Rattus norvegicus: one gene and its partner. The protein of the gene in region 1 purifies or fractionates together with the protein of each later gene. This does not show direct contact. Links are inferred from orthologs where the notes say so. Each region holds a gene or a part of one and is shown on either strand. Other genes may lie near its edges. The genes, in order: Tnip2 and Tank.

Region 1 (12,869 bases):
TTTCTCTTTATAACTTTATTATTGTACTTGCATGTGTGTGTGTGTGTTCGTGGTGTGGTGCACATACAGAAGTCAGAGGACGACTCTGAGGAGTTGATTCTTTCCCTTCATCCTGGGTGCCAGATATCAATAAGCTTGTTCAGAAAGCACTTTCTGCCCACTGAGCCATCTCACCAGCCCCTGGATTTTTATTGTCATAAAAACATGTACTGTTTGGTAATTCTCATTTGTTGATTGTTTTGAGACAAAGTCTTTTACTCTAAGCCAATGGTTCTCAACCTTCCTTACGCTGTGACCCTTCAATACAGCTCCTCACGTTGTGGTGATCCCCTATCATAAAATTATCTTTTGTTGGGGTTGGGGATTTAGCTCAGTGGTAGAGTGCTTGCCTAGCAAGCGCAAGGCCCTGGGTTCGGTCCCCAGCTCCGAAAAAAAGAAAAGGAAAAAAAAATTATCTTTTGTTGCTACTTCGTCATTGTAATTTTGCTACTGTCATGAATCAAAGAGGCTTGACAAAGGGGCCATGATCTACAGGTTAAGGACCACTGCTCTATAAAGTGTAGCAAGCGAGGAAGAGAAAAATTGCAAGCAAAGGACTGCGGATGCCAGGACTAGGCAGGACCTAGGAGGCCGGTCTCCAGGGTAACGGGATACAGTTGTATAGCCACAGGCCACATGGTGAATAGCACCATTAACCCAGAAAATCTTTTTTTTTTTCTTTCCGGTTCTTTTTTTCGGAGCTGGGGACCGAACCCAGGGCCTTGCGCTTCCTAGGTAAGCGCTCTACCACTGAGCTAAATCCCCAGCCCCAGAAAATCTTATCTGGAAGAAGTTTGCAAAATCATTCATCCAGGCCTCAAGTTGCACGTGAGGTAGGGTCCCAAGTGCCACTCCAGGACACCATGAGGACACATTTATGGCCTCATCTGGACATACTGGCTAGTGTCTGTCAAAGATGAACCTCTCAATTCCTCCACATACCTAGTCTGCAGTATTCTCTGTGGGAGCCATCAGTCTCTTCTGGTCTAGGGTCCCTGTTTCTAGAGATGGTGGATATGGCCATCAGAGAAAGCAAGCTAACCAACCATTTGCTTTCTACTGTAGTTGGGTTTGTTTCTTTGACAGGATCTTACTCTGTAGACCAGTCTGGCCTAGAACTCACAGAGATCCACCTGCCTCTGCCTTTCCAATGCCAACCAACCAGAGCTTCCAGGGACTAAGCCATTACCCAAAGACTATACATGGACTGACCCTGGGCTCCAACTGCATAGGTAGCAATGAATAGCCTAGTAAGGGCACCAGTGGAAGGGGAAGCCCTTGGTCCTGCCAAGGCTGGACCCCCCAGTGAGTGGGATTCTTGGGGGAGGGCAGTAATGGGGGGAGGATGGGGAGGGAAACACCCATATAGAAGGGGAGTGGGAAGGGCTAGGGGGATGTTGGCCTGGAGACTGGGAAAGGGAATAACATTTGAAATGTAAATAAGAAATACCCAAGTTGGGGTTGGGGATTTAGCTCAGTGGTAGAGCACTTGCCTAGCAAGCGCAAGGCCCTGGGTTCGGTCCCCAGCTCCAAAAAAAAAAAAAAAAAAAAAGAAAAGAAATACCCAAGTTAATAAAGATGGAAAAAAATTACACATTTTCCTTGAATGTACACTCCCTTGGCCAAGCTGGGATCCTGAAAATGCCATTACCAGGTGTGGGCCCTTGGCTTGTACCACCGGAGACATCCTCTGCTCCTCCTGATCCTCTTCAAATCACCTTCAACACATGCTGTTCATTTTTAGTTTAATCTCTTCTGTCAGTTTTATATCCACAAAAATGTCATTAATATCTTGCTCCTTTGTGTGTGAGTCTGTGTGTGTGTGTACGCAAAAGCCTGCATGACTGGGCATGCATATAGAGGTCAACTTGCAGGACTCTGTCTCTCCTTCTACCACATGAGTTCTGGGGATCAAGCTTTCATCAGCAGGCTTAGTGGCCTTCGAGTGTTGGACCATCTTGCCAACACTATTTCTTTTATTCTCTTAGATTTTACTTGACTTTTTGAAATAGGGTCTCACTATGTAGCTCTGGCTAGAACTCACTATGTAGACCAGACTGGCCTCAAACTCTCAGAGATCTACCTGCCTCTGCCTTCTAGTGGTGGGATTAAAGGCGTGTGCCACTGTGCAAAGCTGTTCAGCACTACGCCTGGTGCCAAACTTTCATTTTAGGTGTCTGCATATTACTATGCATTTGTTGGTGGATTATTACAGAGGCCAGAAGAGGATGCTGGGTCCTTGGGGCTGGAGTAACAGGCACTTGTAAACCCCTTGATGCTGTGAATCAAGGGTACTGTGCACTGGTTGGTTGGTTGGTTGGTTGGTTGGTTGGTTGGTTGGTTGGTTGGGGGATTTTTTTTTCCAAGACAGGGTTCCTTTGGGCAGCCCTACCTATCTTCAGACTCAGAGATCTGCCTGCCCCGTCTCCCAAATGCTGGGATTAGGGTATGTACACCACCACACCATGAGAGTCATCTTTCTAGCCCCACAGTATTTGCTTTCAAAATTAAAGCCAGTTGTTCTTTTCCTCTCATTACAGATGAAAATCAAAGGATTTAAAACATAACAATGTTGCATTCACTAGTAGAATTTAATGACAAGAGGTAAGAAAGTGGGCTGGAGAGATGGCTCAGTGGTTAAGAGCACTGACTGCTCTTCCAGAGGTCCTGAGTTCAAATCCCAGCAACCACATGGTGCCTCACAACCATGTGTAATGAGGTCTGATGTCCTCTTCTGGTGCATCTGAAGACAACTACAGTGTACTTATATATAATAAATAAATAGATCTTTAAAAAAAGAGGTAAGAAAATGATAAGTTGTTTTAAAGTCCTTCTGTATTTGCACTGAGTTGACAAGCACATAATCCCTTTGACATTTACTAAAATTGTGCTTACACAGATCTGTCGTCAGGGAATGTGTTACATTAGTTACTGGGGTGGTTCAAATGAGAATGGCCTCCATGGGCTCATGTATTTAAATGTTTAATTCCCAGTTGGTGGAACTGTTTGTGAAGGAATGGGAGGTCTGGCCTTGCTGGAAAATGTGTGCCAGTCACTGGGGGTGGGCGAGTGCCTTTATCCCCTTCACCAAGCCCCATCTCTTTCTCTGCCTCCTGTGGATCAGATGTAAGGCCTCAGCTACCTCTCAGCAGGACACCTGCCTGCTGCACCCATAATGGTCATGGACTCACTCCCTGAAACTGTAAACAGGCCCCCGATTGAATGCTTTCTTTTGTAACTTGCCTGGGTCATAGTATCTCTCCACAGCCATAGAAAAGTAACTAAGACAGTTATTAGTATGTAGGCATAAAATATATTACATTAATAACTAATAAATTATACTAATTACATAAGCCTTATCCTGTGCACACCTCTGCAAACCACATAACCAAGGAAGCTACATCATAGAAAGAAGCAACACTGAAATTAAAGTGAACAGAGTAGTTATTTTAACAGGGTAATTTTTGACACATATTTCTACTACTAATATAGTCAGTCAATTTGTTTTGGCAGACTCCTCAGTCCACACATGGTTTTGTAATATTTAGTCACCACACTGTTAACAAAATTCCCTAAATAAAATTGCAAATAGTTCTTAAAATCCCAGAACAAAATCTGTATGCCAGTGGACGTAGAACCGTTAATACTGGGACCATCGACTGGTTCTGTCTGGAGCCTCTAGAGAGCTATAAACAAGTGCCAGTTGCTGGGTGTAGATCCATCTGCACTGAGCACCAGTGGCTACCAGACTGCACGTGTAGTTCTGTTGTGAGTATGGAGAGTTCCCTTACCCTAACTGTTCCCACTGATATTCTGGTGACAAATTCTGAAGTGCCTTCAGGTTGACGCTCTGTACTCACTGTGGCTCCTGATGTCACAACACTAAGTTAGTGGCCCAGACCAAGTAGCCTCTACTTTTCTCTCTGCTCTGATGTTTTGCAACCCTCCTTCCAGAAAGAGAGACTTGGAGTGGGGAGACTTCCGTTTGCTCTTGGTGCTTTAAATGATACAGATAGAAAACAATGACAACACGATATAAAGTAAAATTGTACAGAAAAACGTGAACCCAACAGGACCACGTATCTATCTCCGCAAAGGAAACGCAGGTAAGAACCACACACAAAGCATGTGGGATTCGTTTTTCACGTATTCTAAAGTTTACCATCAGGAAAAAAATACGTTCTTTTTTTCCCCCCTCTAGAATTTTGTTGTGGCCAGGCCTGGTGGCAAAAGCCTGTAATACCATCTACCTGGAAGACTGAGGCAGGGCGGATCCAAATTCATTGCCTGCCTGAGATTCACAGTGAGTTCAAGACCAGTTTGGGTAAAAAGCAAGAAAATAACCAGAGATGTGTGCAGCTCAATGGTACAGCACTTACTTGCCTGGGCTCTAGCTTCAATCCCTAGTACAACTGGTGTAGGGATGGGAGGAAAACAAGAAAAGGAAAAAGAAATCTAGTTGCAGTGGTAATCTTGGAAACAATATTATCTTTTACCAGCTGCTCCCCTGTCAGGCTTACTGTCCATGGGGGAAAACCAAGATAGCCATGGACCAAATGGAATAACATGCCAGCATTCCTCCAAATGTGGGGCAAGGTAGTCAGATAGAGGCGACTGCTACAGGAAAGTGTTATCACGCATTTCAGTTTTGTGTGCTTGTGGAACCAAGTAATAACAAATGACAAGGAGAACCAAGTAAGAATTTACATATTCTCAGATTGGCATCTGCTGCTTCTTCCAATATAATACCAAATACCAACCAAATCCCAATATAATACTAAATATAACACCAAATACCAACCAAACACCAATATAATACTAAATATAACACCAAATACCAACCAAAAACGTGGGTCTTTTCTCTCAGAGTCCCAGTCTTCAGAACCCTATGCATCTCTCAGGTTCCTGGCACTCCGCACAGGATTCAGAAACTCACATTCCACAGAAGACCTCCCTTCACAGAACACAAGAACCAAGACCTGCACTGCCCCCTCAGAGCCAACACAAACACAATGGAACCTGTACACATTCCTCAAAGAGCAATGCCTGTCAGGATGTCCTTGAGACCCTCTTGACCCCATGCCTCACTCATGTCCTTTAGAGCCTCTAGTGTCTGTCCCTCAGAACCCTACCTACAGAACCCTGAACACCACCCCTCCCAGAACTCCATCTTCGTCAATCCTGGTGCCCCACTGGTGTGGCTTGAATAAGAAAGCGCCAGGTTCAGATACTTGCATTTTTCATCATCCAGAAGTAGCACTATTTGAGAAGGATTGAGACATGTGGCCTTGGAGGAACTATGTCACTGGAGATGGGCTTTGAGGTCTCAAAAGCCCACACCAGGCCCTGTGTCTCTCTCTGACTGTGGATCAGGATGTAGCTCTCAGCTACTTCTTCAGCACCAAGCCTGTCTGCATGCTGCCACACTCCCCACCATGATGATAATGAACTAACTCTCTGAAACTGTAAGCCAGCGCCCAATTAAATGCTTTCTATTATAAGAGTTGCCCTTGGTCATGATGTCTCTTCAAAGTAATAAGCAGTGATTAAAGCCGCTACACACCCCTTTGGGACCCAGAGCACATATTGGAGAAGCTCACTACCAACAGAACCATGTGTTCAAGGCTACCTCAGAACATTATGCCCCACAGATCCCTGCACTCTCGGATCCCTCACATTCCTCAGACCTCTGCCCCCATGGAATTTCATGAGCAAGTTTCCCACAGCAGCACCCCCAAAGTCGAGAGACCCAGGGGGTCTGTCCCAAATTAACCTCCATCACATGTTCCTCAGAACTGCTCATAACCTCAACAGAATGTCAGGACTTGGTACTCCTCAAACGTCACACTTCTGCCACCCTGGTGCTCACCAGAACCCTGTGCCCCAGAGACTCCTGCTCAACTCTGCCTAACTCTCCGGCCTACGAATGAATCTCGAAGTGCTCAGTATCCTGAACTACCCAGACTCTCGCCTTCAGACCCCAATCCCTCAGGATTCCCTGCGCCTCAGATCCCCACGCCCTTCAGACCCTGAAACCTCAGGACCCAGAGCTCCTTAGGACCCACTTGCCTCAGGATCTCGTGTCCCTTATAACTCAGCTCCTTTCAAACCCCAGCGCACCCCTTAAACCACCATGCTCCAGACCTCGAGCTCTTCAGACCCGCACCTCGAGCCTCATACCCTCGGGACCCTCAAGACCTCGCGCACCTCTGGACTCAGTGTCACACTCTCCAACAAGCTCCCTAGGCCACCTTGGGCAACAGCTCTTGCCCTCCCCGCACCTGCCGCAGTTGGGACTCCGAGGCACCATCCTCCTGTCGCCGCAGCTGCTCACGGAAGCGCTCCACCTGATCCAGAAGTGCGTCCACAAGTGATGGTGCCGTGTGCCCTTCCAGAGCCGCGAGGCGGGTGCGGAGGCTCGCGATAAGGGCGTCACGCGCAGCCAGCTGATCCTTCAGGAGCTGTAGTTGCTGGCCTGCCTCGTGGTACAGGCCACAGAGCGCTGAGGCCGCGCTCGGGGCCTCGTCCTGTCTACCAGACCTTGCGTCCCCAGACGACATAGCTGTGGGCCTTCCGTGGGGACTTGGGCGTCTCCAACTTCTCTAGGCTGCGGGAGCGATAACCAGCCTTCCCGGAACTTTTCCCGCCCCGCCCACTCCCTGAGCCTAATCCGCTTCCACCTACAGCTGGCTCCGCCTCGCCCTCTGCCCAGAGTCTGACTCCGCCCCCGCACACAGCTGGCTCCGCCTCGCCCTCCGCTGGGAGTCTGACTCCGCCCCCGCCCACAGCTGTCACCGCCCCTCTCTCTCGATGATCTCACTTTCTCTTGACGTGCCAGCTCCCTTCTAGGTGCTGTCTGCCCCACAGTCTTAGACTTGTCACCACGGCCCTATTCCCTGCGTCTGAGGTATTTTCCTGGAGTCAGATCCCATCTGTGACCAGGGTTTGGGGTTAGGTATCCTCTGGTACAGCAGCTGAAGAAAAGCAAATAAATCCAAGGACTTCAGACATTGGACATGAAGTGTGGTCAGGTTTCATTGGCGGGGCTCCTTCCTCTTCAGGGACTTGACTTGTGTTTCTTCATACAGGGACACTGAGCTCACAGTACATGGTGGACCCCAGAGCCAGCCACCAAACGCCAGCATGCCCCTAAATTCGAGTTAGGATGGCCTTAGCGCTAGAAACTGTTCTTCAAGCAGAAGACAGGAGGGCGCTGGCCCTTCCCTTCCCACAGCTTCCATACAAACCCTATTTTTCCTCTGGGAAGTCTCTCCTCCGTGAAGATCTTTCAAAGGCTCCTTGCTAAGATCTCATGGAAGTCCTCTCCCTAGGTGAGGATGTGTTTCTTCTCTGCTCAGTCTCCTTCTCAGTATCCTGTCTGCTCACAGCCAAGCTCTGGTTGAACCTGCAGGAACACACTCCCTTGCAAGTATCAAACTATATGCAAAGCCAGACCTCACCAAGAATTTATAGGATGGATACTAGGAGTCACGGACCTGGCTCACTTATGTTCAGCTCCTTCTTAGCCTTCAGAGCCAAAACTCCAGTCAGAAGCGATGCATCGCAGCTGCTGCCTTCCCTACCTGGTAGGGGTGTTATCACACTAGAGAATAGGTGTGTATTTTTTTTTCTATTACTGTGACAAAATGCCAGGACCAAGGCAGTTTATAGAAGCATTTAAGTGGGATTAAGGGTCAGATGTTTAAAGCTGAGAGCTCATATCTTGATCCCCAAGCAGGAGGCAGAGAGCATGCTGAAGTCTCAAAATCTCTCTGCCCAAGTGACATGGCTCTTCCAACAAGGCCATACCTTTTTTTTTTTTTTTTTTTTTCCGGAGCTGGGGACCGAACCCAGGGCCTTGCACTTGCTAGGCAAGCGCTCTACCACTGAAAGGCCATACTTTTAAATCCTTCCCAACCTTACATGAGTCCCTAATTGGGGACCAAGTATCCAAACAGGAACCTATGGGAGCTGCTCTCATTCAAACTTCCACATATTAGACGATTGTCCAGCACAACCATTGCTGTGGCCATGCAGGGTGCATCTTGACTGACCAAGGCAGTTGTGGGATGAAAGAGAAGGGGGGGGGGTACCACACAGAAGACCCTGGCCCTGAGTGGATATGTGGCTTTAACTGTTCACTTACTGCCGTGTGTAGCCTAGGGTAGGTCACTCAAGTGCTTTTGAGCCTCGTTGTGAACTAACCGCAAAATAGACATCAAACAACAAAGAAACTTATTCAAATGCTCCTGTGTCACAAGTGTTTGAAGTTCAAAAGCGTTGATTTACAGAGGTGCACATAACTGAGAGAACCTTCCTCTAAAAAGGAGTACTCTTGATGGCACACACTTTCGATCCCAGCACTCAGAGGCAGAGGCAGGCAGATCTCTGAGTTTGAGGCCAGCCTGGTCTACAGAGCAAGTTCCAGGATAGCCAGGGCTACACAAGGAAACCCTGTCTCAAAACACAAACAACAACAACAAAAGAAGTCCTGTTGCCAATATCTGTACATATGGGCAGGCCCCACACAACAGGGAGTACTTAGCCTCTATAACCGTGCACTCCGAGGTTCCTGACAAACTGAAAAGTAACAGACGGGTGATATTGCTTCAAGATGCTAACACTTGGGAGTCTTTTAAAGTGTGTGTGTGTGTGTGTGTGTGTGTGTGTGTGTAACATATGTGCATGTGTATAATATGTATATGAGCATACATGTAATATACATGTATGTATGTGTTTAATATGTGTGTATGTATATATAGCACACACACGTGGATGTATGTGTGTAGAAGTCAAAGGTTGATGTCAAGTGTCTTCCACTGTCTCTCTTCACCTTCCTGAGACAGGGTCTCTCACTAAACCCAGAGCTCACAGATTGGCTACATTGATTGGTAGCAAGTTCCAGGGATCCACCTGTCTCCATCCAACCACAGCCCCCACGATAGGATCATAGATGTGTGTAATCACACTTGCTTTTACGTGGGTGCTGTGAGTCCAAAATCAGACTCTCAGGCTATCTGCTTGTACATCACCGGGCTAGCTCAGCCCCCTTGAAGACCTTTCTGATTTGTTCTTTATTTTTTGTTCTCTTCTGCTTTGGTTTTGAGACAGCATCTCACTTTGTAGCCCTGGCTAGCCTAGAATTCTCTATGAAGATCAGGCTGCTCTGGAACTAACGGATATCTACCTGCCTCTGTCTCCCAAGTGCTAGGATTAAAGGTATGTGCCACCATGCTTGTGTCTTTTTTTTTTTTTAGGATCTATTTATTTATTATATATAAATATACTGTAGCTGTCTTCAGACACACCAGAGGAGGGCATCAGATCCCATTACAGATGGTTGTGAGCCACCATGTGGTTGCTGGGACTTGAACTCTGGAAGAGCAGTCAGTGCTCTTAACCACTGAGCCATCTCTCCGGCCCCATGCTTGGATCGAATCTCACTCCATAGACCAACCTGGAACTCGCTTTGTAAACCAGAGTAGCCTCAAACTCATGATAATCTTTCTGCCTCAGCCTCCTGAGCTCTGAGATTATAGTTAGAGCTACTATCTCCAGCCACACTTGAAATTCTTTGTCTCAACAGAACATCAACAATTGACATACAATTTAGCACTCCCACTGGGGCATCTCTAAGACCCACAAAACATGTCAGTTTTGGTTTTTGGTTTTTTGTTTTTTTTACTTCCTGAACTACAGAGGGAATGTCTAGTCAAATTAAGTAAGACAGGATTCGAGTCAGCTATTGTATCAGCTTTAAGAAAAATGCTTTGGGTTTCTGAGCTTTTTGGGACTTTAGAACTGTAGATGAGAGATTTCCAGACCTCTAAGGACACTACCTTCTGTGGCATGGTTAAGAGTCTGCAACGTAGGGGTTGGGGATTTAGCTCAGTGGTAGAGCGCTTGCCTAGGAAGCGCAAGGCCCTGGGTTCGGTCCCCAGCTCCGAAAAAAAAGAAAAAAAAAAAAAAAGAGTCTGCAACGTAACACAGGAAGTGGCCAGCATCCTTGTGTCTTCAGCTGAAATTCAACTACAGGGCTTAGGCCCAGAGAGTTACAGATGAGTATTCTAACAGTGGAGACAGACGCCCAGCCTAAGAGGTGGGGGAACTTTGTACAAGCTCGTTGGTTAATAACCAACACTAACTGGACACACCCGGGGCATGCCCACGAGGTTTCCAGGGAGGATTAACTGAGGAAAGGAGACCCATCCTAAATGTGGGCAGCATCTTCCATGTGCTGGGAACAGGCTGAATGAGGAGGGAGGGAGCTGTGGACCACTGATCGTTTCCCTTGGCTTCCTGAGATGTGGCCTCCTGTTCCAGCTCTCACACCTTCTCCTTCTGACGGATTGTGACCCCTCAAACCAGGAGCCCAAACAAGCCCTTCCTCCCTTAAGTTGGTTTGACTTGTTGTTGTTTACTCTTTTAATTGGTTATTTTGTTTATTTACATTTCAAATGTTATCCCCTTCCCAGTTTCCTCTCCAAAAGCCTCCATCCCACCCCACCCCCCAGTTGGTTTGTTTTTATTTTTTGTTTTTTGGGTTATTATTTTTTTTTAGGTATTTTGCATCAACAACAAGAAAAATAACTAATATAATAAGAAAAGGATGGGGGGAATATGTGGGGGCCAGGAAAAGGAATGGAGAATGTTTCACCTTAGAGAGGGTGATTGGATGAGCTACCGTGCAGATTTATGATCCCAGAATTCAAGACACTGAGGCAGGAGGATCATAAGTTTGAGGCCAGTCTGTACTTAATGGCAAGGGTGTTTGTTTGTATGTGTGGGGAGGGGGCTGTCTTTGCAATGTACAGAATGAGGAGGAGCCTGGTACTTGGGTTCCCAAGAAAGGGATACAATGTCCTGGGGACATCCAAGTGTGGGGTGATCTCAGTGTCTCAGAGACGGATTCTCATTCTGAGTCCCCATAGGCCGTGAGTTTCCAGTGATCCTGTGGAGCAGGCCTAACTCCGGCTTAATTTACTGACAGACGATTGTCGGTCTGATTCCCCGAAGGCCTCTTCCTCTGATACAGGTCCCTTTGGAGTCTGCAACTTTTCCTAATTCTCTCCTGCTTCATTTTGAATGCTGACACCTCAGTCCTGTTCTGAGATCTTGAGATCTCAAGGGCCAGCTTAGCCCAAAAGGAAGCTGTGTAAGAAGCAGAGGCCTCCCTAATGAGGGGGAAGGCTCATATGTGAGTCTGTGGTCAGTGAGGTTGGTGACTGGCCTGATGCCATCACACCAAAGCTATGTACATACAATGCTCTAACACTAGCGCTGACTGACACCTGAGGCCTTCACAGGTAGGAGGGCCTTCCAAATGTCCACAAGGGGGCAGTGTGGCCACAAAGGCTTGGGGACCAGAACTTCAGGCACCAACCCCATCTACTCTAGTAGGCCTGCACATCTGATTGAGCCTGAGTGTCTGACTAGCGGTGACTCTTCCCTGAGACCTAGGTGCCCCAGTCTCTGGTCACTGAGTGAGAGGCACCTGTGCGTCCCGATGCCTGCTTATTTCTGGGGCTCTGGCTACTGTTGTCCCAAAGCGCCTCCTCTAACTCAACAATCTCACTGCTCTCAGGGCAGGCCCAGGCTCTTCTTTGGAATTGGCTCCAAGCATTAAGGGAAAGTCTTGCAGATGGTAAGCGTTAGCAAGTGCGAGACAGCATCTGTACTCCATAGGCTTCGTGAACAGTTCAGCACATACACACCGATAAGGATTATTGTTCTGAATTCTAGAGGTCATCCAAATGGGAGGACTCAATGTAAGACTCAATGGCCTTAGTGAACAAGAACCCTCCGTTTCCACTGTACAGAAAGACAGTATCAAACAAAAAAAAAAGTCAGAGAGACAAGGCCCACCCCCTTCCAGAGGAACAACCTTGAACTAGAGATGCCTTTGTTCCATTTATCCATAAACTATGCTAAGACAAGGCTTGAAGACAGCAGGTTTATTTTTCTTTTCCCAGGTTGCATTGAATAAGAATTTGGGGTGCTCTTTTTTCTCTTAGTGTGACTAGCAGCATGGACTGCTTTCTGGTTTCACTTCCATACACACAGCTTTTCTCCCCCACACAGCTGAGGCACTGTACGTGGGAACGGGACAAGTGCTATTCATGGAACACTAGTTACAGCACCATACTTGGCAGTTCTGCCCTCTGCTTCCTCAGGGGAAGAGTATGTATACATACATACACACACACACACACACACACACACACATGCATACACACATACACACATGAACAGACACATGCACACACATGCATACACATGTACACACATACACGTGTACACACATAAGCACACACATACACACATAAACACACATGTACACACATAAGCACACACATACACACATGAACACACATATACACACATACACACATATACACACACATGCATACACATATACACACATGCACACATACACACACGTGCACACACGTACACACACGCATACACACATACACACATGAGCACACACTACACACATGCATACACACATACACACATGAGCATACACATGCACACATGAACACACATACACACATGCATACTATTCTGACAGTGGAGGTGTGTATACCCAGAGCCTGTGCCCCTCTTCTAGACCACGTTTTAGGACTGAGGTCTGTAGTTGTGTCTCACAAAGGGTAACAGTGCTGTGTGTGCAGCCCTGGTCTACAGCATACAGCACTCGGCAGTGAGTTGGAGTAGGTTCCTGTATTCAGGGCCTCAAGAAACCAGACCTGGGCCTTAGTCCTGTTCTCCAGGCAAAGAGCGCAGGGAAGTTTAAAATGGTAGTCCAGTTGGGCCTTTCTGGGCAC
Region 2 (12,696 bases), on another chromosome or scaffold:
CAAGTAGACCTTCCAGCTGTGCTACAAGATGCTTGTTAAAACCATGGGCTTTGGAGACACACATGAGGGCTTCCACACACCAGTAGTTTGCACTTAACTGGGCTAGCTCATTTTTATGCATCCATTTTTGTAACTGTAAAATAGCACTTTTACCCTGGGGTACTTAGAAAAATGAATGAAGTAATGTAAATAAAGGGCTTGAAATTGTGTCAGGGCCACAGTCATTTTGTTAAAGTCATTGTTAACTGAGGTTTTCATCCCCTTTCAATGTTCCCAAACAACCATCACTTGTCATGTATTTGATGTATCTGTACAAATGTGTTGCTTCCTGAAGTGAACATCTTATTTTCCAAATACAAAATTCTTTCCTTGTAGTAAACCAAATTTCTTTCCTAATCACTCCTATCCACTAGCCTGAGGCCTACCTTGAAGAATTTAATTGATATTTGAATATGATTGGGGTTATTTTTCTTCATATTCTCTAAGAAAAGCATTAACCTTTCCTGTAATTATGTATTTATGACATGGATGAGTATTTAATAGTTTATCTTTGGTCTCAAAGATCAGAAAGATGGGTCAGAACATAAGAATGTTGCTTCCTTTTTTCCTTAGGGAATTCCAAAGCCCTTATTAGTTTGGGGATAGTTTACCACCTCCACATTACCACCTATAGGAAAGCTCGTCAATTTTGTATGATTTCACATAAATTGAATCTTATCTTCCTAGGCACAAGCAATTTTTTTCCTATTGTTTCTGTGTATAGGATGGTAGGAACCAGTAACTAGATAATTTGTAATTGTTCCTATCAGTTCATTATATATCACAGCGTCTTTTGTTCCTTAGATAGCCAATAATATTAGTTGTCAAATAAATGAGGAAGGCCGAATGCTAGGGAGCTTACGACCCTGCTTTCATTGCCATTCTCAAAAAAATAAGCCTAAAGTACCTCTTAGCTGCTCAGTCGTGCACCTCAAATCTTTACTTTAAGAACTGCCAAGAATATTAAAATCATGTGCGCCATCAACATTATAAATGTTCTTCTATAATCCTAAAAGCAAGTGGAGATTATGTTTTAATCTGCTCGAAAAGCAATAAAAACAAGCAAAAGCCATAAATGTAGCCTAAAAGAAACAATAAATTCACTGAGATCATAGGAAAAACATATGAAATACAGTTTTAACCCTTAACTCGTTTACTTCTTCAACGCCTACTCTTCGTGAGTAGTTATTGGGCTGAGAACTGTCTCTTTGCCCATAAAGCACTATTATATTATGTAGTCATTTGGATATGAAGTATCCTCCATGCTCCCACACAAAAGACCTATGTGTTAAGAGCTTGCTCTCCAGATGGTGAGCATTTGAAAGTGACTGCAGCATACGGGTTCTCACTTCCTCAAAAGATGAGCTCACTGATGAATTCCTAGCTTAATGTTACATTATTAAGAGGTGGAACCTACTTGGGAAAAGTATGTTACTGTGTGCACTTTGTCCCTTCCTGGCTCTTGTCGGTGTCACTCTTTTCCCTCTGTGACATTGTACTCTTTGCAATGATGTCTTACCATACTATGCCAGCACCAGAAATAGTAGAATCAAGTAACCATGAAGTGAATTCTCTGAAGTCATGAGTCCACAGAAATTCTTCCTCCCTTAGCCCATGCTCTCAGGTGTCTGTCACAGTGACATAAAAACTGAGTAACACACCCGATTTTCATCTTCTTCAATGAGTTGAGTACATGGTCCTGCATTCCACTGAGATGGCTCAGTGTGTAAAGACACTTGTTCCCAAAGCCTGATAACCCGAGTTGAAGAAATAGGTAATAAATGTTTATTAAATAAGCACTCATATAAGGTTGTCTTAGGGATTTACTATTATAAAGAAACATCATGACCAAGGCTGGCTTATAGGTTCAGAGGTTCAGTTTATTATCATAAAGGTAGGAACATGGCAGTGTCCAGGCAGGCCTGGAGTTGAAGGAACTGAGAGTTCTATATCTTTGTCCAAAGACAGACAGGAGAAGTCTGGCTTCCAGGCAGCTAGGATAAGAGCTTAACGCCCCACAGTGACACACTTCCTCTAACAAGGCCACACCCTACTCTAACAAGACCACATCTCCAAATAGTGCCACTCTCTGGACCAAGCATATCCAAACTACCACAAATGTCAATCATTGAATTGGATTAGAGCTTAAATAGAAAAACTGTAGCTCCATCCTATTACCAAAAGCTTAGGGAACATCTCAGAAGAAGGTGGAAGGAATATGAGAGCAGACGGTGGAGGAAGGTGATGGGAAAGGTTCTTCTGGACACGATATGTTTGGCGCAATCATGGGAGCTCTGGTTACTTGTTCATACAGGGCTCTTACAAGATTTGGCTTGTCCATATTTCATCATGAAAGAGGGGAGGGCCAATGAGACCTTGCCCTTCCCTAAGGGACTAATGACAGTTAATGGTGGCTTTAGTGATGTAGTCACTGACAAGTTACCTGTCCTTCAGTAAAGAGTTTCCCTCCCAAGTTCATTCAGGCAACCCCATGGCACACACAAAACAAAGGCATAAAAGTAGAAGGTGGGTGAGTTAGGAAGAATAAGGGTTTCTGGAAGAGGGGGCATAAAACAGGCTAATAGCTTTTTCTAAGAACATACATGTATAGAACTGTCAAAGAATAAAAAAAATTTTTTGAAGAATTGTAAAAAGTGAATTTAGTTCCCTAGCTAGCTTCACTCCGTGTAGTCACCATCCATTCATGCTAGCCCCCAATTCTACTGAATGTGGATACCAAACCTAAGTATCACCACTAAGAAAGAAATATTTGGCAAAAACTTGTAATCAACTACTTTCCCCTGCACATGTTTATAGAAGCTGGGGGAATAAGTTTAAAATAAAAGAGCATGAATTTTCTCCTCAGAAATGGTAATTCACATCTCAGCGTCAGCTGCAGCCACAGATGAACAAAACCTTAGCACTTGCGCCTGTGAACAGGTAAAGGCAACAAAATGTTTCTACTCCCAGAAAGCCCATATCCGGGCATTCATCTTCCGGGTGCTGGTATGGTAACCTAAGTGACGTTTCTGAATGAAATATCTACTTCAGTACCACATGGCTGCCTAACTAGCTTCTTGGCCATATTTGCAAGTATCTGAGTCTCGCTGAATCTTAGTTAGCAGTTAGTAGAGCTTGCCTTTTATGTTTTCGGAGGAATAGGAAAAGATCAGTTGTAGCACATTCTCTATGGGGAGACCTTCCACACAGGCTTACAATGAGAATCCTACAATTAGAGTTGGTCCTGCTCTTAATAGTCAGCCAACACCTTGGCCATTTGTCTTTTTGAATCAAAACCTAAGCTTTTCTCCTACCCACCAACTTGAGCTTGCCGCCCCCTTCCCCCCTACCATCCCGGTCACTGTGCCCATCTATTCTTTTCCTACTGGGATTTCTATGAGAGGATAAAAATAGAGTCAGGGGCAGGAATGAACAAAGGACTCAATAGGGACAACAAGGGAAGCTATTACCTTGCTTGGAGTCTAAATTAGTCAGCAGTGTCTTCGGCTTTTAATGTCGCACGCGTAGACTTGACTGCTTCAAAATGCATCTCTAACCAAATCAAAAAACTTCTGCACCAGGGCCTGGAAAGCCCCTCTCAATGTCCCACCAGGTTGTGGCCAATATTCCAGGAATAGCCAGTTTTTCCGGAGTTTGGGCCCCAGCCAAACTCAATGGCCAAAGTAAATAATAAAAGGAGGAAGCCTAGGATGGAGAGGTGAAAAAATGAAGGTAGGTAGAGCGCTTGCCTAGGAAGCTCAAGGTCCTGGGTTTGGTCCTCGGTCCCGGAAAAAAAAGAAAAAAAAGAAAAAAGAAAAAAAAAATGAAGGCAGGGGAGTGTATTTCCCAGTCAATACGGGAGGGCTGTTTTAACAAAAAGCTGTGCGTTTAAAAGCTTGCTTCCCAACTGTCAACTCTCAAGGACTAAAATGTCCACACGCCAGTGCTATCTTAAGTTTTTGATGTTTCACTTCGTTGTATTTACTTTGTAAGATTTTAGTTTCCCGTTGCACGAAAGCATGTTTAGTATTTGATATTCCTCGGTGAGAGTGTGACAAGCACATAGAGCTGGAAGAAAACAAACGCTTCGCTGCGTATTTTACGAGCACATAGAAGAGTTTTTAAGCACATGCTTATTCAGCACTTTAGAAACTTAAAAAAAAATATTTTTGGGGAAGGAATAATTCCACCATATGCAGCATTATCTCTGATGTGTTTAAGATGCAATTTTAAGAGACAATAGTGCTTTAAAGTAGTAAAGGGACTAGACTATGAATCGGAAATTGGAAATTTTAGTTTCCATTAACTGGAGTTTTGGGAGATGCCTCCGCACACTTACGCGGGAACTCAGCAGGGAGACTACCCCCAGGACTCAATCTTGTTCCGACTCCTGAACTTGCTGTGAAGGAGCACAGTACAGTACGTATGAATTGCACCTGGAGACAGACCACTCCAAGTGCCCATTGCTTCTAACTTTGTGACATTGCGCACTCTCCCTCCTCTGTTTAATCATCTGCAATAAGGGGAAATGGAACAGATCGTGTCTAAGGACATTTCCATTTTTATAACAAAGAAAAATGTCCAGATATTGCTGTCTTCCATTTACATGTAAAGCCCACAGTTTAGTTCCATGCGGTCCGAGAGAAACACTCCCCCAGGGTGTGGGAACACGTGCTCAACTGTGTCAACAGTGACCTGCGTGTCAAACTAGAAATCCTGTCTAAAGAATCCTTTTTTGCTTTATTTTTCTTCCTAGTACTTACAGTCTCATTCTGGAATCTTAAGATACACCTTATTATTATTATTTTTTCTCTCTAGGCTTCATCCAACCGACCTTTGTAAGTCAGAAAGCAAAGAAAAATATACTTAAATTTAGGTTTTGCCTGTTATTTATAAATTTGATTTGGGGTCAAATGTGACTCCTTAAAGGCTAAAATGGCAATTTTTTTCAAATAAGCTTACTTTTGAAACGTTTTACATGAAAAACACTTCTTCCAAATTAAACTTTCATGTTTGTAATTTCTAGATTTTTTTTAAATGTCTTAACTATTCAGGTGAAATATCATTGCTTCAAAAGGAAGTCAGAGTTAGAGTCACGGGTGGTTTCAGAACATTTTCTGGTAGTTTTTGCTTCATTTCAATATTTTGCCATGATTGGCTGTTGATAGCTACAAATAAGGAAGTCTTCAAGTCAGGGGATTTCTCAGTGGAAGTCCCCAGTTCCTTCCACACAAGGGAGAGCTCAGGACAGTTTGGGCAGCATCTGGTAGAGCCTGTGCAAACGGTTTCCAGAATGTGTCCGTGCCTGTCTTTAAAGAGACACAGTCAGTGAAGGAAAACTTGTCACCTGGAGAAGAGGTAATCAACTCTTACTAATTTCTTTCGATTCTTAGCTTAGTAAGGAGGTTGGGGTGCCTTAAGTGTGGTAAGATCTACTCCACTCCGGCACCAGCCAACTAGGCGGTCCCAGGCACGAGTCAGCGATGCCTTTTGGCATCGTCGTCAGAATTAGAGGGATCCAAACAGTCTTTAAAGCACTGTGACTCTTTTACTCTTTGCCTAATTTTTAAGATAGAATGGGTTATGTCTTTAATTGAAATGAGTTTTAAAAGTCTTTATCTGATATGTGAGTCTTCTCAAGAAGTGATATACATGTGTGTGTGTGTATGATGTGTGTGTGTGTATGTATGTATGTATGTATGTATGTATGTATGTATTGTGAGACTGAGAGATATTTGGCCCAAGTTAGGTTACATAAAGCTTACTATGTCGAAAGTAAATTAAAAGTATATATAGTCCTACTTTTTGCTTATATTTAAGAAAAATCAATTCCAGCCTGATCGAATGTGTCTTTCTAAATGCCAAACTAGCATTAGTACTTTTACTCTCATAAGAACTATGTAATAATGAACATGTATGACATCAAGTATTAGCTTTACAAGCTATTCTAATTACAGTAATCAAAGCTTATGCTGTTTCCAACAGACCCTTTTATTTCCATCACCACAATTAAAATTGAAGATCACATCACATTATTTTCTCAAGGACAATTTCAAACTAAATATCAAGAACTCTTTTCAGTGTTGTTGTATTAAATAGTTTCTAGACACTCAATAAGAGTGTCTGCTAAAAGAAAAGGATCACATGTTTTCAGTGGTATAGTCAGACAAGACTTACTTAAATAAAAAGTCATACCATTTCATTTTACCTGGCTTTTTATCACTAACCCACCTGTCTTCTTACGATACTGAAACTGTGTTTGAGATGTTTTACCCAAGCTGGAGTAGGATGGGGAAGAGAGAAAACAAATTCATCTGAGTTACAGAATAATCACGTCATCACTGGAAACCGTCTCCCTTCTCACTCGTCCTCTGCCATCGCTAGGGTTACAGTTCCGTGAGTGTACATAGCAAGAAATACTAGTCTGCCTCTGGGAATGTGGAACTCTGTATCAGCTCAACACACTCAAAACGTATGCCCAGAAGCCAACTGGGGTTCTAGAGAAATGTCCAGTTATTTCTCTTAAACGTTTGTGATTTATGGTTACCAAGATGACTCAAAACAACTGTTAAATTCCCCTGGGGAAAAAATTCTGGTTGGAATTTTAGAAATGTGTCCGTGCCATTTAAAACCTTCCTGTCTGTGAACATCCTGTCTTTCTATGCATTGAGGATGGGACTCCGGTAAACATATGGAGTCCTTTGCATTATACATTATACATATAAATTGTAGAACGTGTTCCAGGCTAGTTTGCTTTGTCCCTTTCTGATGTGTGCACTAGGGGAATTATCTGTGTAAGGATCTTCTTTCTGGTGTGTTTTAACTACTGCTAACATCTTGATCTCATAATTTTATGTAGTCATTTTATTGATCTCTAATTTTTTCTAAATTATATAATTCACATGACCTTTTCAGATTAAAAAGAAAAATATGTGGACTTGCTTCCTCCTTCCCATCCTTCAGCATAGCAGCTAGAATTTCTGGATCAGGGCTTCATAACACAGGAAAAAGCAGTCGACTGTTACATTTCTGATCTCAGAGGAATTTCCCTAGTGGTTAATATGAAGAATGAGATTGGCTATTGGTTTGAGGTAAAAGCTTTCATGATTAAAAAAAGAAGCCCAAATAATTACCAATATCCTGATTTATTAGGGGTACATTTAATAGGCAATATCAAAGTTTCATGTTTAAAAAAATCCAATGTCTTTGATAACTTTAGAGACAACTGTGTGAGTTTGGCATTTCAAACGAGGCAGCAATCTGCCGTTTTAAAAGACTTCGAAGAAAACAGGTTGCCCTTGTGTTTCCCTGACAGAGCTGATTTTATAGTTAGAAACTGTACTCCATTGTTTCTCAGATTAAAATAATAAACTGGTTGATCAAACCGAGCCTACACATTTCCTATTTCTCTTCCATCCACATGCTTAGACGCCTCTCTCCTATCATTTTGGCTTCATATCCAGTTTACAGCTCAAACTACCAGGAAAGAATGAAAACAGTGTGGTGGAAGCCAAGGAGCCCTATCTAGGGCGAGCACCCAGAGTTACAAAAAAGCAGCTGTTCGTACGCTCCCTGCAAACAGCTTTCGAACATTACATCCAAAGAGGGTCTGCAAAATGTGTGTCCAAATTGGTTAGCATAAATGCAGTTTACATTAAGGAAGTGTATACCGAAAAGCAAACGTTTGTGGTTTGCTGAGAATTTTTGCATTCATAGACAGAAGGCAAATTTCATCCAGATTTTCATCTCATGGCACCTATCAGTAAGGAATTTGTCTACCAAAGTTTCCTTTCAGAAAGTAAAACAAGGAAAAGGCCAAAACACTTCAAATTCTAACAAGTTTCATGCATGTGGTCTGTTCCCTGAAACGTTTAAGGAATAAACCCAGAGCATCGACCTCGGCATCCCAGCCCCAACAGATAGTTCATTAAAACATTTTCCCAGTATTTTCTACTGTTGTTGATCAGAGCAAATTTAATGCCCCCCTTTTTACATAGTTTAGGTTTTGTCTGAAAACAATTATTTTTTTTAAAGATTTATTTATTTATTTCTAAGTACACTGTTGCTGTCTTCAGACACATCAGAAGAGGGCAGTGTATCCCATTACAGATGGTTGTGAGCCACCATGTTGTTGCTGGGAATTGAACTCAGGACCTCTGGAAGAGCAGTCAGTGCTCTTAACCACTGAGCCATCTCTCCAGCCCGAAAACAATTATTTTTAAAAACAATTCTGTTCAATTTTTTTCAAACGCATTGATGCACACAATATTGACCTACACTTTTTAAAAATAATTTCTGTAACTGTATAGATAATCCTTTCGGTGCTCACTTTTTTTTTTCTATTTGTATTTTCTCTCTCTCTCTTTCTTGATTGGTCATATCACGGAACTAATCCCTTGGATGTGACATTTTAACTTAGCTTCTTACAGAACAGCTTTTGGTCTTATCTTTACTAATATTTTCATGATATTTTAAAGATTTCTTTTTTACTCTTCCTAGTTACTGGTTTGAGTGTTTAGGTTATATATATTTTTAATTCTTTACCATTTTCTAATAATATTTTTAAGGCTATAGAAGGTTTAGGACCACTTTAACTACATCTGATAAATAGTTATATGTCACTATCACATTAGCATAGCTTCATAGTTCTAGCGAGGCTGTGTGGCTTGGCTTTGGGGTGTGCATGGGTGGAGGTGAGGAGAGCTAAGGACTGACCCCAGATTCTCATAAGAACTCAGTAGGTAACTTTACAGGTTTTAACTGCAGTTTTACTCTCTCTTTAATCGTGAAGCTATTTAGGTCAGTAAAATTATTTTAGAACAATTTTAGATTTAGAAAAAAAATCAGGCAGGAACCATGATAGACAATATATGTATTATAGACACTATACATATTACATTTTATATATTATAGACAATATATGTATGTGTGGCTGTGTGTGATCCTACTTCCTACCTTTAAACCAGAGTCACCGCTGTTGACATCTCTATTAGCATAAGTAAAACAAATCTAGATCTTTTTATTTTATTGAGTCTTTAAACATTTTTTATTATTTATTCTGCCTATCTCTCCTCTAGTGTCTGTTAGACCCTTTCCCCTGATGATTTGTTTGTCTTTTTCTAGTTCTTTGGAGTATGCAGGGTTTCACTTTATTCTACCTGTCTCTGGTTCTCTAGCAATGGAATTACAAGAGCCCCATCACCATGCCCTCTTACTTGTTTTCACTGGCTCTGGAGATCATCTTGGGTTCCCAGTCTTGTAAGGAAGTGCTTTATCAGCAGAGCTAGCTCCCCACCCTAGGCTCCCCTTCCTTCCCCTTCCTTCCCCTTCTTTTCTTCTCTTCTCTTTTCTTTTCTTTTTTTCCTTCCTTCCTTCCTTCCTTTCTTTCTTACTTTTTTAAAATCACATTTATGTATTTACTGGGTGTGGTGATCAGAGGCACCTAGAGGGTGTCAGCTTTTTCCTTCTACCTTGCTTGTGATCAGGCTGGTGATGAGCGCCTTCATAGCCACTGAGCTGTCTCATCACCCTCGGGTTTTCTTTTCAACACAGATGTCAATTGGTATTAGTGTTCCATGAAGCACTTTTAAAAACTATGTGAGCCTTCATGTGCTGCAGTTTTGCTTTCATTAACCTTCTAACAAAATCTTCTTTCTTTTGTGATTTCTGTTCTGGCTCAAGAACGTGTCAGTTTTCAAAAATTTATGTCTCTTCCAGTTTTCCTTCGATTATTGACTTCCAGCTTCTTTCCATCTTGGCTGGGAAAAGATTTCATATGACTTCTGTTTTCTGCCGTACGGTGAGACTTTGGAAGGAGCAGTATTTGCTCTATCCAGGAGAAGAGTCCTCGTCCACTCGCAGAGACTGTCTTCTGCTTCCTTTTGGCACAGTGCTCTGTTTACACCGCTTTGGCCCAGTTGGCTCACAGTACTGTTTCAGTTGCCGTTCCCCTCTGGTCCATTTTTCTACTTATCATCAAATGTGGCATAATGCAATCTCCAAGGACTACTGTAGTCTGTTTCTCTTTTCAATGTTATAAATGTTCTTCTCAATTTCTCTAGGGCTCTCTTTGCTGTTCATATGTACAATTGTTATATCTTCTTGGTGAATGATTCTTAATATGTGTGTATGTGGATATGCATATATATGTGTGTGTATGTATATATGTATATATATATATATTATTATTTGTCTCCTATGGAATGTTTTTACTCGACATATATTCTGTCTAATATTAGTACAGTCACCCATATTTCATTCGATTACTCAGAAATATTTTTCAAATTTTATTATTATTATTATTATTATATTTTTTGTGTTTGCACACAATGTGTACATGTGTGTGTGTGTGTGTGTGTGTGTGTGTGTGTGTGTGTGTGTGTGTGTAAGCATTCCCATGTGTGAATTCATGTGCATACACATCATGGTGCATCTATGGAGGTCAGAGGACGCCCTCAAATGCCAGTGGCTCTCACCTTCTTCCATTTTTGAGGAAGGTGTTCATAGTTTTGTTTTATTTGTTTCCCACTGCATAGGCCAAGTTACTGGACCCCCAAGCCCAGGGATTTTCCTGTCTCTGTCTCCCATCTCCTCATAAAGGTGTTGATATTATAGACATTTGCTATAGCATCTGGCTTTATATAGTTCTGAGGATTCAAACTTGAATCCTCATACTCACATGGCAAACTCTTCAGACACACCAGCAGAGGGCATCAGATCCCATTACAGATGGTTGTGAGCCACCATGTGGTTGCTGGGAATTGAACGCAGGGCCTCTGGAAGCACAGTCAATGCTGCTAACCAATGAGCCATCTCTCCAGCCCTGGCAAACTCTTTATACGTTGAGCCATCTCTCCTGTCCACGTCTTTCACTTTTACCTCTGTGTGCCTTTTTATCTAAAGTGTCTTCTAGATAACATAGTTTGATCGTTCAATTATGTTAGATTTTCCATTGGCCAAGCTCTGTCTTTTATCTATTTTTGAAGTAATCACTAATAAGACTTCTTCCACTTACTACTCAATGAATGTATTTCTTATAAAATATTTCTTTTTTAAAAGTCCAAAGTAAAAAATATCCAGGCTTAAGAGTAGATGAATCATCATGTCACTTAAAAAAAAACAAAATAAAACAAAACAAAAACAAAAAACCTCAATGAACTACTTTTTTCACCATGTCACAGCCTTATTCCATAATCACTTTCAATAATTCAAGTGATATTATATTTAGAAATGAAGTCAAACATAAAAGTGAATGGCTAACAAAGTTACAAAAAGCTATAAAGTTACAAAATAAGCCAAATGCATTTAATCAAGAGTAACAGACAACAAGAAGCCTTATCAGTCTAAGGCAAGGCAAGAAGTCGAGGCTGCTCAGATCTGATAGGTCGACACTGAGGAATTTGTAAAATAAATAGAAATAACATCTCTGACTTACTGGCAAAGAAAAGCCTAGATATTGCCTATCAACATTCTTATAGTGAAATTTAAATATTTCATTATTGAAAGAAAATAATCTTTAAAGGCTTATTAATCATTTCATGCATTTACAATGGAAGGCCTAGTTCTGAAATTAAAATATTACTAAGTATTTGGTTGAGGATCAGTTTAGACAAAAATGGCTTTTGACATTCAAAGTTCATGAGAAAAACTCAGCTATCTTTTAATTTTGCTTTAATGTCAAATTAAATAAGGCAACTTTAAAATTCGATAAAAACACGGCTAGTCTGTTTCCAGAAGAATTTCCAAAATTCAACCACTGAGCTTCTTTTTAGGAGAAATCATATGTTAGAACCAATTATTCTAACTTAACTTCAGAAGTTCAAATGGAAAATAAGGCTCACAGCACAACGGTGTGAGATAATTCCTCCTCAGTATCAAAGAATTACCTTTATGTTCTTAGATGCTATGCTGTAACAATGGGTGATTCAACTCATTTGGTAGCTTGCCTGGTCGACGTCCTTCTCAATAGCTTCATGTTTGCACTGAAGATGTTCTGACATCATTGTCACTTCCTTAAACTATTCTGTGAATGCAAGCTGGTGACTTTCTGCCTGACCCAGCAGCTGATGACAGCGTCTCGAGCATAATCACTGCTGACAGCAGAGGTCCATGTTCTCAAGAGAAGCCCCTTCGTGGACTGCTTGAATCACCCTTGTAATCCGGTTCCCAGACGCCATTGCCTTAACTAGCAAATGCCTCTGCATACTCTTACAAACTGTCAATTCCTTCCTTCCTAAATTACTTCCACCTTCCCTATTTAACTGATTCTTTACACCCTTTTAGCCCCTTTTCATTTTTCTATTCCATATTTGTTTTTTAAGATATTTTTAGGGGTCACATGGAAATTAAGATAATTTAAATGAATACAGGTTTAGTTTTAGTAACATCCATAAACTGTCCTATTGGTTTAATCTCTCTCTTATGCTTTCTTGCAAGTTATCTTTCTATATTGTATGCTTACGTAGAAAGTAAAAAAGAAACTATACATAAATATTGAATCATGCTGGAATTTATATTCACATAGTTGATTGATTTATATCACATAGAACAAAAGGTTTTGTTTTTGTTTTGATTTTGTTTTTTGTTTTTTGTTTGCTTTTGTTTTTGTTTTTGTTTTTTGCTGTTGTTTCTTTGTGTGGTTTCAATTCTAGTAGGCTT

The links.
Region 2: the proteins of Tnip2 (region 1) and Tank purify together in Homo sapiens (affinity purification with mass spectrometry; 3 studies listed by BioGRID and IntAct, with this or other methods). This does not show direct contact. The link is inferred for Rattus norvegicus from reciprocal best matches to the Homo sapiens genes TNIP2 and TANK.

What each region holds. Positions count from the first base shown.
Region 1 is NC_086032.1:80,446,730-80,459,598, reverse strand, and holds the start of Tnip2 (TNFAIP3-interacting protein 2), read right to left. Parts: upstream 6,664-12,869; 5' UTR 6,600-6,663; coding exon 6,321-6,599; intron 1-6,320. UniProt on the Homo sapiens protein: Inhibits NF-kappa-B activation by blocking the interaction of RIPK1 with its downstream effector NEMO/IKBKG.
Region 2 is NC_086021.1:66,517,596-66,530,291, forward strand, and holds the start of Tank (TRAF family member-associated NF-kappa-B activator), read left to right. Parts: upstream 1-5,241; 5' UTR 5,242-5,397; intron 5,398-12,696.